Saccharomyces cerevisiae S288C: one gene and its partner. Changing the gene in region 1 together with any one later gene gives a genetic interaction. Each region holds a gene or a part of one and is shown on either strand. Other genes may lie near its edges.

Region 1 (10,203 bases):
AGATGCGATCTTTTCCATAATAACTGTTCCGTTTTTCATTATTTTCAAACTATCATGTCCTCAACCGCCTTCAGATATTTTGAGTTATGATCCCACTTTGAACAGATACTCTTTAACAACGTTACCCATAATTTTATTATTTATCCAATCAATTACTGCACCCTTCCTCCTTTGCAGTATACTTTCTGTGCTTTTGACATATCATCTAGGCTATCTCGTTTACCTTTTCCCTCTTATATTAGCTATGGCCTTAATTTTACTATTGACGGCTTTTATTACAAAGGTAAATCTGCATAACAAGTTTACTCTGTCATTAGACAGCTCTAACATTTTACAGGAAAAGCTACAAAAAAGAAAACTCCTCGAAAGGCTTAACACAAGCATCCAAATAATTTTTCTAGCTATCGGCATAATAAATATCATAATTTGGATATCACTTTTAGCCAATTCTCTTATTGAGATGATGGAAATTTACCAAAAAATATTAGGATTATCGAAAGCTATTTTGGGCCTTACCATTTTCGCATGGGGCAACTCAGTAGGAGACTTGATCTCCAACATATCTATGTGCAGGCTCTACAAAACCCAAACTCACTACCAAGACAGAGTTCGTTTAGCCACAAAATTTTTTATGATATCATGCGCATCTTGCTTAGGAGGCGTAATGCTGAATTCTATGGGTGGAATAGGCTTTAGTGGGCTAGTATCAATGCTTTTTATTGGCGCTTTTAATGATAACGAATGGTGGTTCCTAAGAAAGGTTAAATTACAAGAAACAAGTCAATTGGATAATACATTAAATTACAAATTCATAGTTTCTTGCGTCTTCATTATCCTACAGATTATTCTCTTGCTGTTATTCTTCGGAGGGCCTAACAATATTAAACGGCGCCTCACAAAGGAGATGAAGTTAGTCGGAATCTCTATGTGCGGACTATGGGCACTAGCCACGTTGATTAATATACTTCTAGAACTGTTTAGCTAAAGCTTGCAAGAGTGCCTCCCGAAAAATTTGTTTTTGTGACATTTATCTGGCGCCGTAACAGATCCGCGCAGAACACAGAACACCAAGAAAAGAAGTACTATTTAATTTCAAGATTACTTAGACTCCGTCATTCAAATCGCCCTTTTATTCAAACAAAAATGGGCCATATATTCTTTCTGTCTCAACCTTCGTTTCCTTGGATGAATTATTTTGATTGAGCTCCAAAAAAAAAGTTGTAGCCAGGAACTATCCAAAACTTCGATTGAGAAACCCATAACAATGATGCCTGCCAGACTTTTCATACTATATCTTTTTGTAGTACTCATGCCTGTTGTTCATTGTTCGTCCAACCTGCCCATCACTCCATATATCTATGAGCGTCTAGTATATTTTATTAAGGCAAGCTCTATATCAAGCTGCATATCTGACAACTTACTTCTTGTTAATAAAACCTTCAACGACGGAGGTTGTCCACCACATATTAACTTCTGCAATGATGAGATAATTAACCCAACAGCGGGTCAAACAGTGGTTGAATTAGTTCTTAATGCAAAAAAAGGTGAATTAGGCTCGGGTTATCTGGCTGTTGACCACGGAAAAAAGGTTGTTATTTTAGCATTTAGAGGATCCACAACAAGACAAGATTGGTTTAGTGATTTTGAAATATATCCTGTTAACTATTCTCCCCTTTGCGTTAAGGAATATCGTAAGCTTATAGAGGAAGGAAAAATCAGAGAATGTGAAGGTTGTAAAATGCATAGAGGATTTCTAAGGTTCACAGAAACTCTCGGGATGGACGTCTTTAAAAAAATGGAGTCGATTCTGGAAAGCTTTCCGGAATATAGGATCGTTGTCACTGGGCACTCCTTGGGGGCAGCATTAGCAAGTTTGGCTGGGATTGAATTAAAGATAAGAGGCTTTGATCCGTTAGTGCTGACATTCGCAACACCAAAGATATTTAACAGTGAAATGAAACAATGGGTAGACGAGTTATTTGAAACAGATGCTATAGAAAAGGAGTCAATTCTTAAAGATGAAATTCAATTTCGTAAGGGCTATTTTAGGGTTGTGCATACAGGTGATTATATTCCTATGGTTCCACCATTCTATCATCCGGCTGGTTTAGAGATGTTTATTAACAAAGTTGGTCTACCTCAGAATGCGGAAGATATTGAATACCGTGGTAAAAATAACAGGTTAACTTTAAAGGATGGATTTCGAGAGGGTATGAGCGGTTTGGTTGAAGACTGGTTACATGTCTATGAACATCGAGCCTACTTCATTGACGTAGTGGGATGTTCTGGACTTTAACATTCACCCACTTTTACGTTTTTGTCTATAACTAGCATATATAATACCGCTCTAGAGTTACTCTAAACTAAATGCGACCACTATTCTTAACTAATAATTGTTCTTTTTACAAATAACTCTTTCAAAACTTCTAATCTTTTCTCTTACGTTTTCCATTTATCTGCTCTTCTTCTGAAACTCTTTTTCCTGCATTGGCCCTCTCTTTGTTACATGAAAGAGGTTTTAGGGTTGGTAATATTTCTGGTTGTAAACTTCTTGAATACACTTGGGTAGCTAACTGCTTATTCCAGTTCTCCTGGCCACTAATCCCGGCTACGCTTTTGTTGAAATAGTATTCTTCTACAGCATCATAGCTATCATCACACATGTCTACTAGTTTCCACGTATGTCTTGGAGGTACTCTATCTTGACCGTAGATGGAAGCTTTAAAATTTTCATCCCTTGGGAAATATTCCTCACGTGGAATTTTTTGAGCGCTGCATGGCTAAATTCTACCGAATCCAATACGTATATCCACTACTCAACATGTTGGGGCACAAGTGATTACACACTTAATATCTCTGTCATAGAAGCTACTACAGAGAAATTGGTTGACACTAGATTATTAACAACACTCGAGAATGCAACCGCTTGGATTAACTCAAACTCTATTGATGAAGACGAAGATGATATGCCTCATGCCACTAACGTAGCAGACCGGCTTGATGGGTTATCCCTTAGCAAGCGCGTATATAGCATCTGTCACTACGAATTTTAGTGCGGATTCTCTCCGTAGCGTAAACGTTCTCTATACATCATCTACCCATGTTGCTCCACCTAGCAGAACATTTCAGAAAGAAAGAAGTCCAAGTAATGGCCAACAACCAGAAGGACAGCTTTTTTTATGAAGGCCCCCTACTGCATATTCATTAAGCTTAAGCTTGATCGGTGAAAAATGCTATAATCTACGTGTACTGGTCACATTGTTGCACATCTCAATTAATCAACGCTCTATTATTATACGGAAGATATAAAGGCATAGTAAATACACTTGCCTGAGGTATTGATTGATGAATTATTTTCCACGGCCCATGCGTTACTCACTTCGAAAATACATTTGAATTTTAGTGATAAGTTTTGCGATCTACTTTTGTTCAAGATAATAATACTGGGGTAGAATATACACTAAGAAGTCTCTTTGAAATTAAAAATATCTCTAAAAAAATCCATTATATAATATACAGTAATACAATTAGAGGCAGGTTTTTCTTTTGCACAATCAATATGCTTTGAAACCAATAAATTCATCCCAGGAACGGACTTCTGGTGGAACTATAACGTCATGAGATTCCAAAATTTTGATCTTTTCTGCAATTTTTGCCTTCAAACACTTTGCAAATAACAAAGCCGTTTGAGGTTCATTGAACAATGGGATAGCAAAATCAATAGCATTCCTTCTCATAATATAGTCAACATCGTCAGTGCTCTCAGCTCTCTTGGAGGCTAAATTGAAAACAGCTTTTATGTCATATTCTTGAAATAGTTCACGCAATTTTCTCTTATCATTCTTTGGAAATTTAATCAAAGAAACCTTTGCGTTCTTTTCTTTGATGTGTTCCTGTAGATACGTTTTAGTGGTCTCATTAGTTGTGTATATTCTGTAACCAATAGTGGCCACTATGGAAGCCACTTGGCCCAAGTATTCTCGAGATGTATCACCTCCAAATAATATACCACTTGGAGGTAGTGGTACATGGAAGTTCATGGTACTTTGAATAGCAGTCCAATAGCTTTCAATTAAATCTCTACCAAATGAAGCAACTTCACCAGTTGATGCCATTTCAACCCCTAAGAAAGGATCTGCACCAGCCAACCTTGTAAAGGAAAATTGAGGAACTTTAGTAGCAACATAGTCGTACTTTTTGTTGAGCATCAAATCAACAGGTTTTGGTACAATGTCACCGCCCAAAAATGCCTTGACAGCAATTTCAATAAAATTAACGCCTAAAACTTTTGAAACGAATGGAAATGATCTAGAAGCTCTAATGTTACATTCAATCACTTTCAATGTATGCTCCCCATCCTTGATGATTTGCATATTGAAGGGGCCAGTGATCTTCCAAGCTTTTGCGACCTTATCAGCAATGTCTTTTAGGGCAATCTTCACATCGTCAGAAAGATGTTGTGGCGGTAAGACTAAAGAAGCATCACCGGAGTGCACACCCGCATTTTCAACATGCTCGGAAATGGCATGTACCAAGACATTACCATTATAAGCAACGGCGTCCACATCAATTTCTTGAGCACCTTCAATAAATTTAGACATGACGACTGGGTGGTCTGGAGAAACGTCAGATGCCAAAGTTAATTTAGCCTTCAGTTCCTCCTCATTATTAACAACACTCATTGCCGCACCGGAAAGAACATATGAGGGACGAATCAACACAGGGTAGTTAACTTTAGAAGCAAATAATTTTGCTTCTTCTACTGATGTTAATTCACTCCATTCAGGTTGGTCAACATCAATAGAATCCAAAATAGATGAGAATTTGTGTCTGTTCTCAGCTCTATCAATATCGTTTGGATTGGTACCCATTATATTACAGCCGTTATCGTAAAGTTTCAAGGCAATGTTTTGAGGTAATTGACCACCGACAGAAATAATGCAACCCTCAGATTGCTCCAACTCATAAATGTCCATCACTCTTTCATACGATAATTCTTCAAAGTATAATCTATCAACTTCATCGAAATCTGTGGAAACTGTTTCTGGGTTATAATTTATCATGATAGTTTTCTTGCCTTGATCTCTTAATGTCTTCGCGGTGTTCACGGCACACCAATCAAATTCTACAGATGAACCAATACGATAGACACCAGAGCCTAAAACCAGCATACCATTTTCGTTGAACTCCACATCGTTCTTTGTAGCATTGTAAGTGGTATACAAATAATTGGTTTGTGCTGGAAATTCTGCGGCCAAAGTATCGATTCTCTTGACAAAAGGGATTATACCTAACGTTTTTCTTAAACTTCTGATTTCCAGTTCGTTAATGTTTGTGGAGGCGTGTTTATTTATAGTAACCGCAATCTGCTTATCTGAAAACCCTAATTTCTTGGCTCTCTGCAAGAGATCTTTACTCAAGTCACTTAAAGATTTAACTGATTCAAGCTCTTTATAGATATTAACAATGTTCATGCACTTGTAAAGAAACCATTTATCAATTTTACTCAATTCATTAACTCTCTCAACAGTATAGTTTTCATGGATTAAGGCCTGACCAATGGCAAGGACTCTTCTATCAGTTGGAGTTCTCAAGGCTTCATCAAGTTGATCGCCGAATTCAGTAGAACCTTGGAATCCCAATAATGATGGATCCACCTGTCTTAATGCTTTTTGAAAGGCTTCTTCATAGTTTCTACCAATAGCCATAACTTCTCCAACTGATTTCATAGAGGAACCAATGGATCTGTCCACGTATTGGAACTTAGAAAGATCCCACTTAGGTATTTTTGCCACAATATAATCCAAAGATGGCTCAAAGTTAGCCACTGTAGTTTTTGTGATTGGGTTTGGCAATTCTGGCAAAGTATAGCCTAGCCCAATTTTGGCGGCAGTGTATGCTAAGGGATAACCAGTGGCCTTAGACGCCAATGCAGAGGAACGAGATAAACGTGCGTTCACTTCAATAACTCTATAGTCTAGCCCATCAGGTTGCAAAGCGTATTGGACATTACATTCACCAATAACACCAAGGTGTCTAATGATTTTAATTGCGGCGGATCTTAACATATGAAACTCTTCATCTGATAGGGTCTGCGAAGGAGCAAAAACCATAGAATCACCAGTATGAACACCAAGTGGGTCGAAATTTTCCATATTACATACTGTAATACAGTTACCAACCCTATCTCTGACCACTTCATATTCAACTTCTTTCCAACCTTTCAAAGATTTTTCAACAAGAATTTGTGGGGCCAACGACAAGGACTGTGCGGCAAGTTCCTTCATTTCACTTGCATTGTTAGCGAAACCTGAGCCTAACCCACCCAAAGCGTATGCAGATCTGACAATAACTGGGTATTTGACCCTTTCAGCAGCCTCCAAAGCTTCATCCACGGTTTCACAAGCAAATGATTCTGCGATGGGAATGTTGATATCCTTTAACGCAGATGCGAAAAGATCCCTATCTTCAGAAGTGATCAAAGTTTTGATAGGAGTACCTAAAACTTTGACGTTGTATTTAGCCAAAACACCAGATTCATCCAGAGCCACCCCACAATTTAGACCTGTTTGACCACCGAAGGTTAAAAGTATAGCATCCGGCCTTTCAAGTTCAATGATATATGTGATGTATTCTGGTGTAACGGGCAAGTAATAAATCTTGTCCGCCAGGGAATGAGAAGTCTGGTTAGTAGCGATATTTGGGTTAACCAATATAGTAAACTTGTTATCTTCCTTCAGAGCTTTGATAGCTTGAGAACCACTGTAATCGAATTCACCAGCTTGACCAATAGAGAGCCCTCCTGATCCAATGACAAGTACAGAATTTACTCCTTCAACTAATTGAGGTTTGTAGTCCTCGGTAGTAAAAGCAGAATTCGTAGGCTCTGTTGATGTATAAATCGATGTCATTCTTTTCTTCCTGTCTATGTACTGTATTGCTCTTCCTTTATAGAACTAATTTTAACTATAGATGTTAGTTTTTCGATGCTTAAACTTAAATAGCGCTTCAAAAAAGAGATAAGGCATACTATAGAAGACGTATTAGTAATTATATATATACAAATAGCATGGCAGAAATGCTTATGACGGAAAAAAAAAGATTGGATTTTCTCGATGCTTACTCAAGGTGACACAATCGTTACGACATGGAGGTTCCTATCTCTGATATTCAAAAGTTATTGCCATCTCATCAATAAGAGTCATTCACAATAATCTATAGAATGCCGCAGGAAAGAAGACAGTGGTGGATGAGTCATTTTCTCAACCCTAGTTTACAATCTGAATGTTTAGGGGATTTACTATTTTTAATTAGGACATTTGAATATTTCTGATAGGGTAAAATCACTTTTTAGGGTTTCTGATTTTCTATTTTCCTCATTTTTCACAATAATAACAATGTTGCCATTCTTTTATCACTACCCTAAATGTACCAAATATTAGTAAGAAAAGAAACATTATAAAGAAAAGGAGGTTTTACAAGGGTCACTTGGTGAGATTAGGTCGTCGTTATTATTTTTATTTTGTGGGCGGGGTGTAATAGTGCTAAAAAGAGGGAAAAGAAATAGTATACCATTCCGCAAAGATGGAGTACATCAAGATTGCCAAAGTATCTAATGTAGTGCTGCATAGAAGAGGTACGGCCACACAAGGTACTTTACATTTGACTACTCACCATTTGATCTTTGAGTCACCACAATTGTCGACGGAATTTTGGTTTCCATATCCTTTGATCTATGGAGTGCATAAAAACCCGGGTAGTACATTACTGTCCAAGTTGACTTCCACTAATCAAATCCAATTGGAGGGAACGGATTCACAGAATTACAAGCTTTACCAGGGTAAGGATCTATGGTCTTTTGTAAATATCAAGGTAATTGGGAAAGATTATGCGGTATTCTCATTGGATTTCGGTGGTGATTTACATCTACAGGCAAGAAAGGTGTATGATTCCATCTTAAATTTGACGGTCCTGTCCAATATCACGCAACTATATGCATTTATTTACATATCCAACAATCTGGAAAGGAAACTACCTTCACCCGATAGCTGGGATATATATGACCCAATTAAGGAATTTCGAAGGCAGGGCCTCGACAGTAAAGATGAAACATGTCCTTGGAGGCTATCCACGGTAAACGAACACTATGAATTTTGTCCAACGTATCCCTCAAAACTTTTTGTACCAAGATCCACGTCAGATATATTATTGAAGCATGCTTCGAAGTTTAGATCACAGAAAAGAATTCCTGTTTTAACTTATCATCACAAGGCAACAGATTGCAACATTCTTAGGTCATCTCAACCATTACCGGGGTTGATCAATCAGAGGTCCATTCAAGATGAAAAATTAGTTTGGGAAAGCTTCAACTCATTTTGTAATAAAGATATTAGAAGAACGAAACATGTAATAGTAGATGCCAGACCCAGAACAAATGCATTAGCACAGATGGCGTTGGGTGGCGGGACAGAAAATATGGATAATTATAATTTTTTTTTAGCTGATAACAATATGGGTGTCGATAAAAGTCTAAAACTGCCCACAGTTACACGGTTATTTCTTGGTATAGATAACATTCATATTGTTTCCAACACAGCTGCATACATGACGGAAGTTATCTGCCAAGGTGGCGATTTGAATTTACCACTGGAACAGAATTTAATTAGGAGTCAAAAATTTTCCAATTGGTTGAAGTTGAACACTCTTATTTTAAAATCCGTTGATATGCTTTTAAAGTCCATCATTTTCAATCATTCCAACGTTTTGGTTCATTGTTCTGACGGTTGGGACAGAACCAGTCAAGTTGTATCACTATTAGAAATTTGTTTGGATCCTTTCTATAGAACTTTTGAAGGTTTTATGATCCTAGTGGAAAAAGATTGGTGCTCTTTTGGTCACCGGTTTTTGGAAAGAAGTGGTCATTTAAACTCTGATATTAGATTTCATGATAACACTATGCATTCCAACTTCAACGATGTGGATACCAATGGCGATGATCTTGACATAGGTGTTAACACTCAAGACGATTATGCTGAAGATGATGAAGGAGGTGAAGATGAGACGAATTTAATTAATTTGAGTAGAATTTCCAAAAAATTTAACGAAAACTTTAAATTGAACAAGAAAAGTCTAAAGTTCGTCTCCCCAGTTTTCCAACAATTTTTAGACTGTGTATACCAACTTTTGACGCAAAACCCAGATCTATTTGAATTCAACGAAAGATTTTTAAGAAGACTAGTTTACCACTTGTATTCATGCCAATATGGAACATTCCTTTCCAATAGCGAGAAGGAGAAATTTCAACAGAATTTGCCAAACAAGACTAAAAGTGTCTGGGACTACTTCAGATCTAGAAGAAAGCAGTTCATAAATCCAAATTTCATACAGAGAAAAAGAAGCGGCATGAATGAGCACGATCAAAACCTTGAAGAGGAAGAAAAAGTGGAGTGGATTTCGCCGGATCTGAAGAAAGTCCAATGGTGGTGGCAGTTATATGGAAGAAAAGATTCAGAAATGAATGATGAATTACGCCATAAACGAGACTCAGTACCCATATCGGTGGATAAAAAGAGTAAAGAGCATAGTAATTCCGATGGCGGTAAGGGTTTAAATTTGTCAATTTTTGGATTTGATATGTTTAATAGAAAGTGATCTGGTTAACGGCAAAGAAGACAAATAAGTGAGTTAGTATTTTGCATACAATGATAGAAGTATAGAAAAGTTCAAGCATTTCTCCGTTGTTAGTATACATATATATATATTAATTTTAATGAATAAGGGTACATATATTATGAGCATAACGAGTGGCCGATCGGCAAAGGGGCTTACAATTTTACAACACCAGATTTCCAACTAACACCACACCACTGAGATATTAGTATAGCCAATCCTCTCACTGCCTCCACAGTTTCCTTATCACAACCAATATTCAAGGCACCTTTCAAATGCCCACGCAATTGAGGATTAACATCTTGTGGAACCAAAGAAGCAATTATCACTAAACTTGTCTCTTGCGCAGATAGTATCTCATCAAAGGCAAACAAAGGGCCATATACATGGACCAGTGTATAATACCATAAGTCTGGGTACGAAGAGTTTAGATTGTTTACCACGCGGGTTGAGACTTTGTTGTATATTGAATTCCAATGCCGTAAGCCGTTCTGTATGGTATGATCTCTTTCCTGGATTGTCTTGTCATGCTTC
Region 2 (3,310 bases), on another chromosome or scaffold:
GTGATTGACATGAAAAGCGTAGATGAACGAAAATCATTCAATTCATCACCAATTTTGCATGAGGAAAGTAAGAAAAGGGACATCGAAACTACTAAGTCAAGCCAAGCTCGGCCGGCAGTCAGATCTATCTCCTTGCTTTCCCAATTTGTTTATAAAGGTAAATAAAAGTTAAGTACTGCACGTTTCATATCGGAGGTATATTTTTCAAATGAAAATCTCGTCGAAATGCCTCAAGACAAGAATTAAAAAATCAATGCCCAGTAAAGTAGGACAGGGTACGGTTGGAGTAAGAAGCCTTCTACTTTGGGAAAAAGCCATTGTACTAGACCAAGAAAAGATTAAAAGTAGATGTGTCAAATTAAGCCACAAGTATGTTTGCCCCGCTATGAACAATGCACGCCGCATGTGAGGACAACTTTATATGTTTTGCGAGCGCGCTGGGCATGTGCAATTCACATTTTTTTTTTCCTTTTTTTTAACCCACTCTATTTATCTAATCAAGCCGCTAGCGGTCTACATTCGCTATCAACTGAACGAATAGTGATGCAATCTGAACCTTAAACTTTTCGCTCGCTTTTACTTTCCAGAAAAAATTTTCTTCATTGGGATTCCTCTGCTGACAAACGGGCTCACAGAACTGAGGAAACGAGAATTTTGTTAATCAAAGCAACATTACGGGAAGGAACGGAACCGTCTCGTTGCTGTGGGCGCGAGTTCGACGCAAGAAAAAAATGCTGCAGCATCGTCTTTTGTGAACGCCAAGAAGGAGTCCGGCGAAGGTATTGGGCGTCACAACCTTTTATTCTCCGCAGTGTCTCTTGCCTACAAAGCCTGCAGAAGCTTTTATGCCGGGGTGTACGTATGTTAATCAGTTACCCTTTCCTACTGTGTGCCGCACCCCTCATTTGCTCTCGATACGAGAAGTTCCGCGCCGATTCTGGCCTTTTTGTTTTCTGGCTAGCCTACTTTCAGGGGACGTGCCTTCTTATGCCGCTGTAAATTACAGCAGAGATTTAGATCTGAGTGAAAACGTGGCGAGGAAAAAGGGTACACCGTTAAAAGCGTAGACACAATCCCACTTTGTTGTGCCTAGTCTTCTCTGCTGTATTTTAATTTTCTGTTTGAACTTTTTTCCGTTCTTTTCCATCATTGTTTAATTTTTACTTTGAGTGGGCTTCTCAAAAGAAAAAAATAGCTGGTATTGTATTTTTACCGTAGGCGTTTTCTTTGTATTTTTCCCAAGAGCAGCAGCACCTTTTATATACCTTGGTTACACATTGTAAGCCTCAAAAATCGTCCTATGTAAGTGTCTTATCGCATCATACTTAAGGTCAAACCTGTAAAGCGCGCTTCTAGTTTTATTTCTACTACTCGCCTTGGCTCTCGAGATCGCTTAGGTAGTTTAATAGTTAGTCACACCCACCCACCCATTCGCTTAGAATATAGAATATAGAGCAGTTGCAGTACACGACTCATTTTAGCAACGATAAGAGTATAAATTGGAAATGCCAAATTTTCAAAAACCTTTTTCTGGTTCTTCGGATGGCAATTCTGTAATGAACGACCTAGGTAATAAAGTCGCCATCAAGGTTTTTGATTGTAGAAGTGCTCAAGATGGCAGCGAAGAGCAGAATGTAAATGTAACCACGAACCAAATGTATTTAATGTTTCAAAGTAACAATTACAACGTGCCGCCACCAAATTACAATACCGAGGATTTGGGTTCTCAAGGACCTCCGACGCATGCTTATTACGCTCCATTTCAGCATCCCATCCATCTTCAACCTCCCGTGCCTCCTGTATATAAGAACAACACATATTCTGCCACAGACCAGTATAGTGACTCCTCGTTTCCTAATACTTCAGGCCACACTCCAGTAATTGATAGTAATTACTATAATGATGCTCTGGCTTCTATACCTACAACAACGACGGGTAGTACTACAATGACTACAGACAATGGCAATACTATTGACAGCGAAGAATACATTGATAACATGGAAGTCTTTAGTAGCGAGGAAAATGAAAACATTGATAATGTAAAGCAAACCGATCTTAAATCTGAAAAGGACTCGAGTCTTCTTTCAGCAGCTTCAATCGTGAAAAAGGAACAATTGTCTGGCTTTGAAAATTTTTTGCCTTTATCGAAGACAGAGTCTCCCTTAGTTACTGCAGACGAGATTAAATCATCTTTGAATTTGGAGAATATTGACAATGCTGACAGTATGAGCTTCAAGTTAAAAACTTCACCTATACGGAAACATTTTCATGTTAAACCCAAAAGAATAACAAGGGTGAGGACAGGAAGGGTATCACACAATATAATTGAAAAGAAATACCGTTCCAATATTAATGATAAAATTGAACAATTAAGGAGAACTGTCCCAACGCTACGAGTAGCGTATAAAAAATGTAACGATCTTCCCATTACATCTAGAGACCTAGCAGACTTAGATGGCCTAGAGCCAGCAACAAAATTGAATAAGGCGTCCATTTTAACGAAATCTATTGAATATATTTGTCATTTAGAAAGAAAGTGCCTACAGCTAAGCTTGGCTAATCAACATTTATCAAATGACACACGGGATTCTTTCGTCCATCTTACCGAGCCATCTCAACCGTTGAGTGACAACAGTAGTAGTGAACAAGTACAAAAGCAAACCAGAAGCTGCCAACGCCAACGGCAGCGGCAGCCACGACAACAACAACCATTGCATAACATTCAATATAATATTCCACATCAAAACGGCCTCATGAGCGGCACCAACAATTCACATGATATGGATTTTAACAACGCAGGAGACTTTTAATACTTGAACAACAAAATGTTTCAACACGACAGATAAAACGAAGAAGAAATACTATATACAAATCTGTACTTGTGTGTATGCGTAACATTGTAATTTTAATTTTGCATTGAGAAATCTATTTTATTCATCTCTTTTAGTGTTAGTAAACACTCGCAGATGCCTTGAGCTCCGCACCGTAATTTAGTTTAATTTATTTCTCTTAGTGCCGTCTAAATAATAACGATCTAAAAAAAAGATTCCGGGAAAAAGAAACTATACCTTATATTTAGTTCATGCAGTTAAATAAATGTTGTTAATTAAGGGTAAAATATGATGATGTATTTATGATAAGTAAAGAGTAGGGGTCACCTAACATTTTTCACAATTGCATTTACTCTTTTCACAAGTGCACGTGGTTTCGCATTTGCATTTTTCACCACAACTCTTACATTGAGGGCTTCCGGTGCTGTGATCACATTTGCACTTTTCACCGCCAGAACAGCTTGGAAGGCAGGTGCTCC

The links. Genes that interact genetically often act in the same process or in processes that back each other up.
Region 2: of CPA2 (region 1) and HMS1, changing one suppresses a phenotype caused by changing the other (phenotypic suppression), as found in Saccharomyces cerevisiae (2 studies listed by BioGRID).

Annotation. Positions count from the first base shown.
Region 1 is NC_001142.9:626,031-636,233, forward strand, and holds CPA2 (carbamoyl-phosphate synthase (glutamine-hydrolyzing) CPA2), read right to left. Parts: upstream 6,912-10,203; coding exon 3,555-6,911; downstream 1-3,554. Other genes in the region: ECM27 (Ecm27p), read left to right, coding at 1-985; LIH1 (putative lipase), read left to right, coding at 1,310-2,296; YJR107C-A (uncharacterized protein), read right to left, coding at 2,427-2,663; ABM1 (Abm1p), read left to right, coding at 2,682-3,053; phosphatidylinositol-3-phosphatase YMR1, read left to right, coding at 7,585-9,651; PXP2 (Pxp2p), read right to left, coding at 9,825-10,203. UniProt on the Saccharomyces cerevisiae protein: Large subunit of the arginine-specific carbamoyl phosphate synthase (CPSase).
Region 2 is NC_001147.6:389,271-392,580, reverse strand, and holds HMS1 (Hms1p), read left to right. Parts: upstream 1-1,505; coding exon 1,506-2,810; downstream 2,811-3,310. Other genes in the region: Rad2 family nuclease EXO1, read left to right, coding at 1-165; YOR032W-A (uncharacterized protein), read right to left, coding at 205-405. UniProt on the Saccharomyces cerevisiae protein: Involved in exit from mitosis and pseudohyphal differentiation.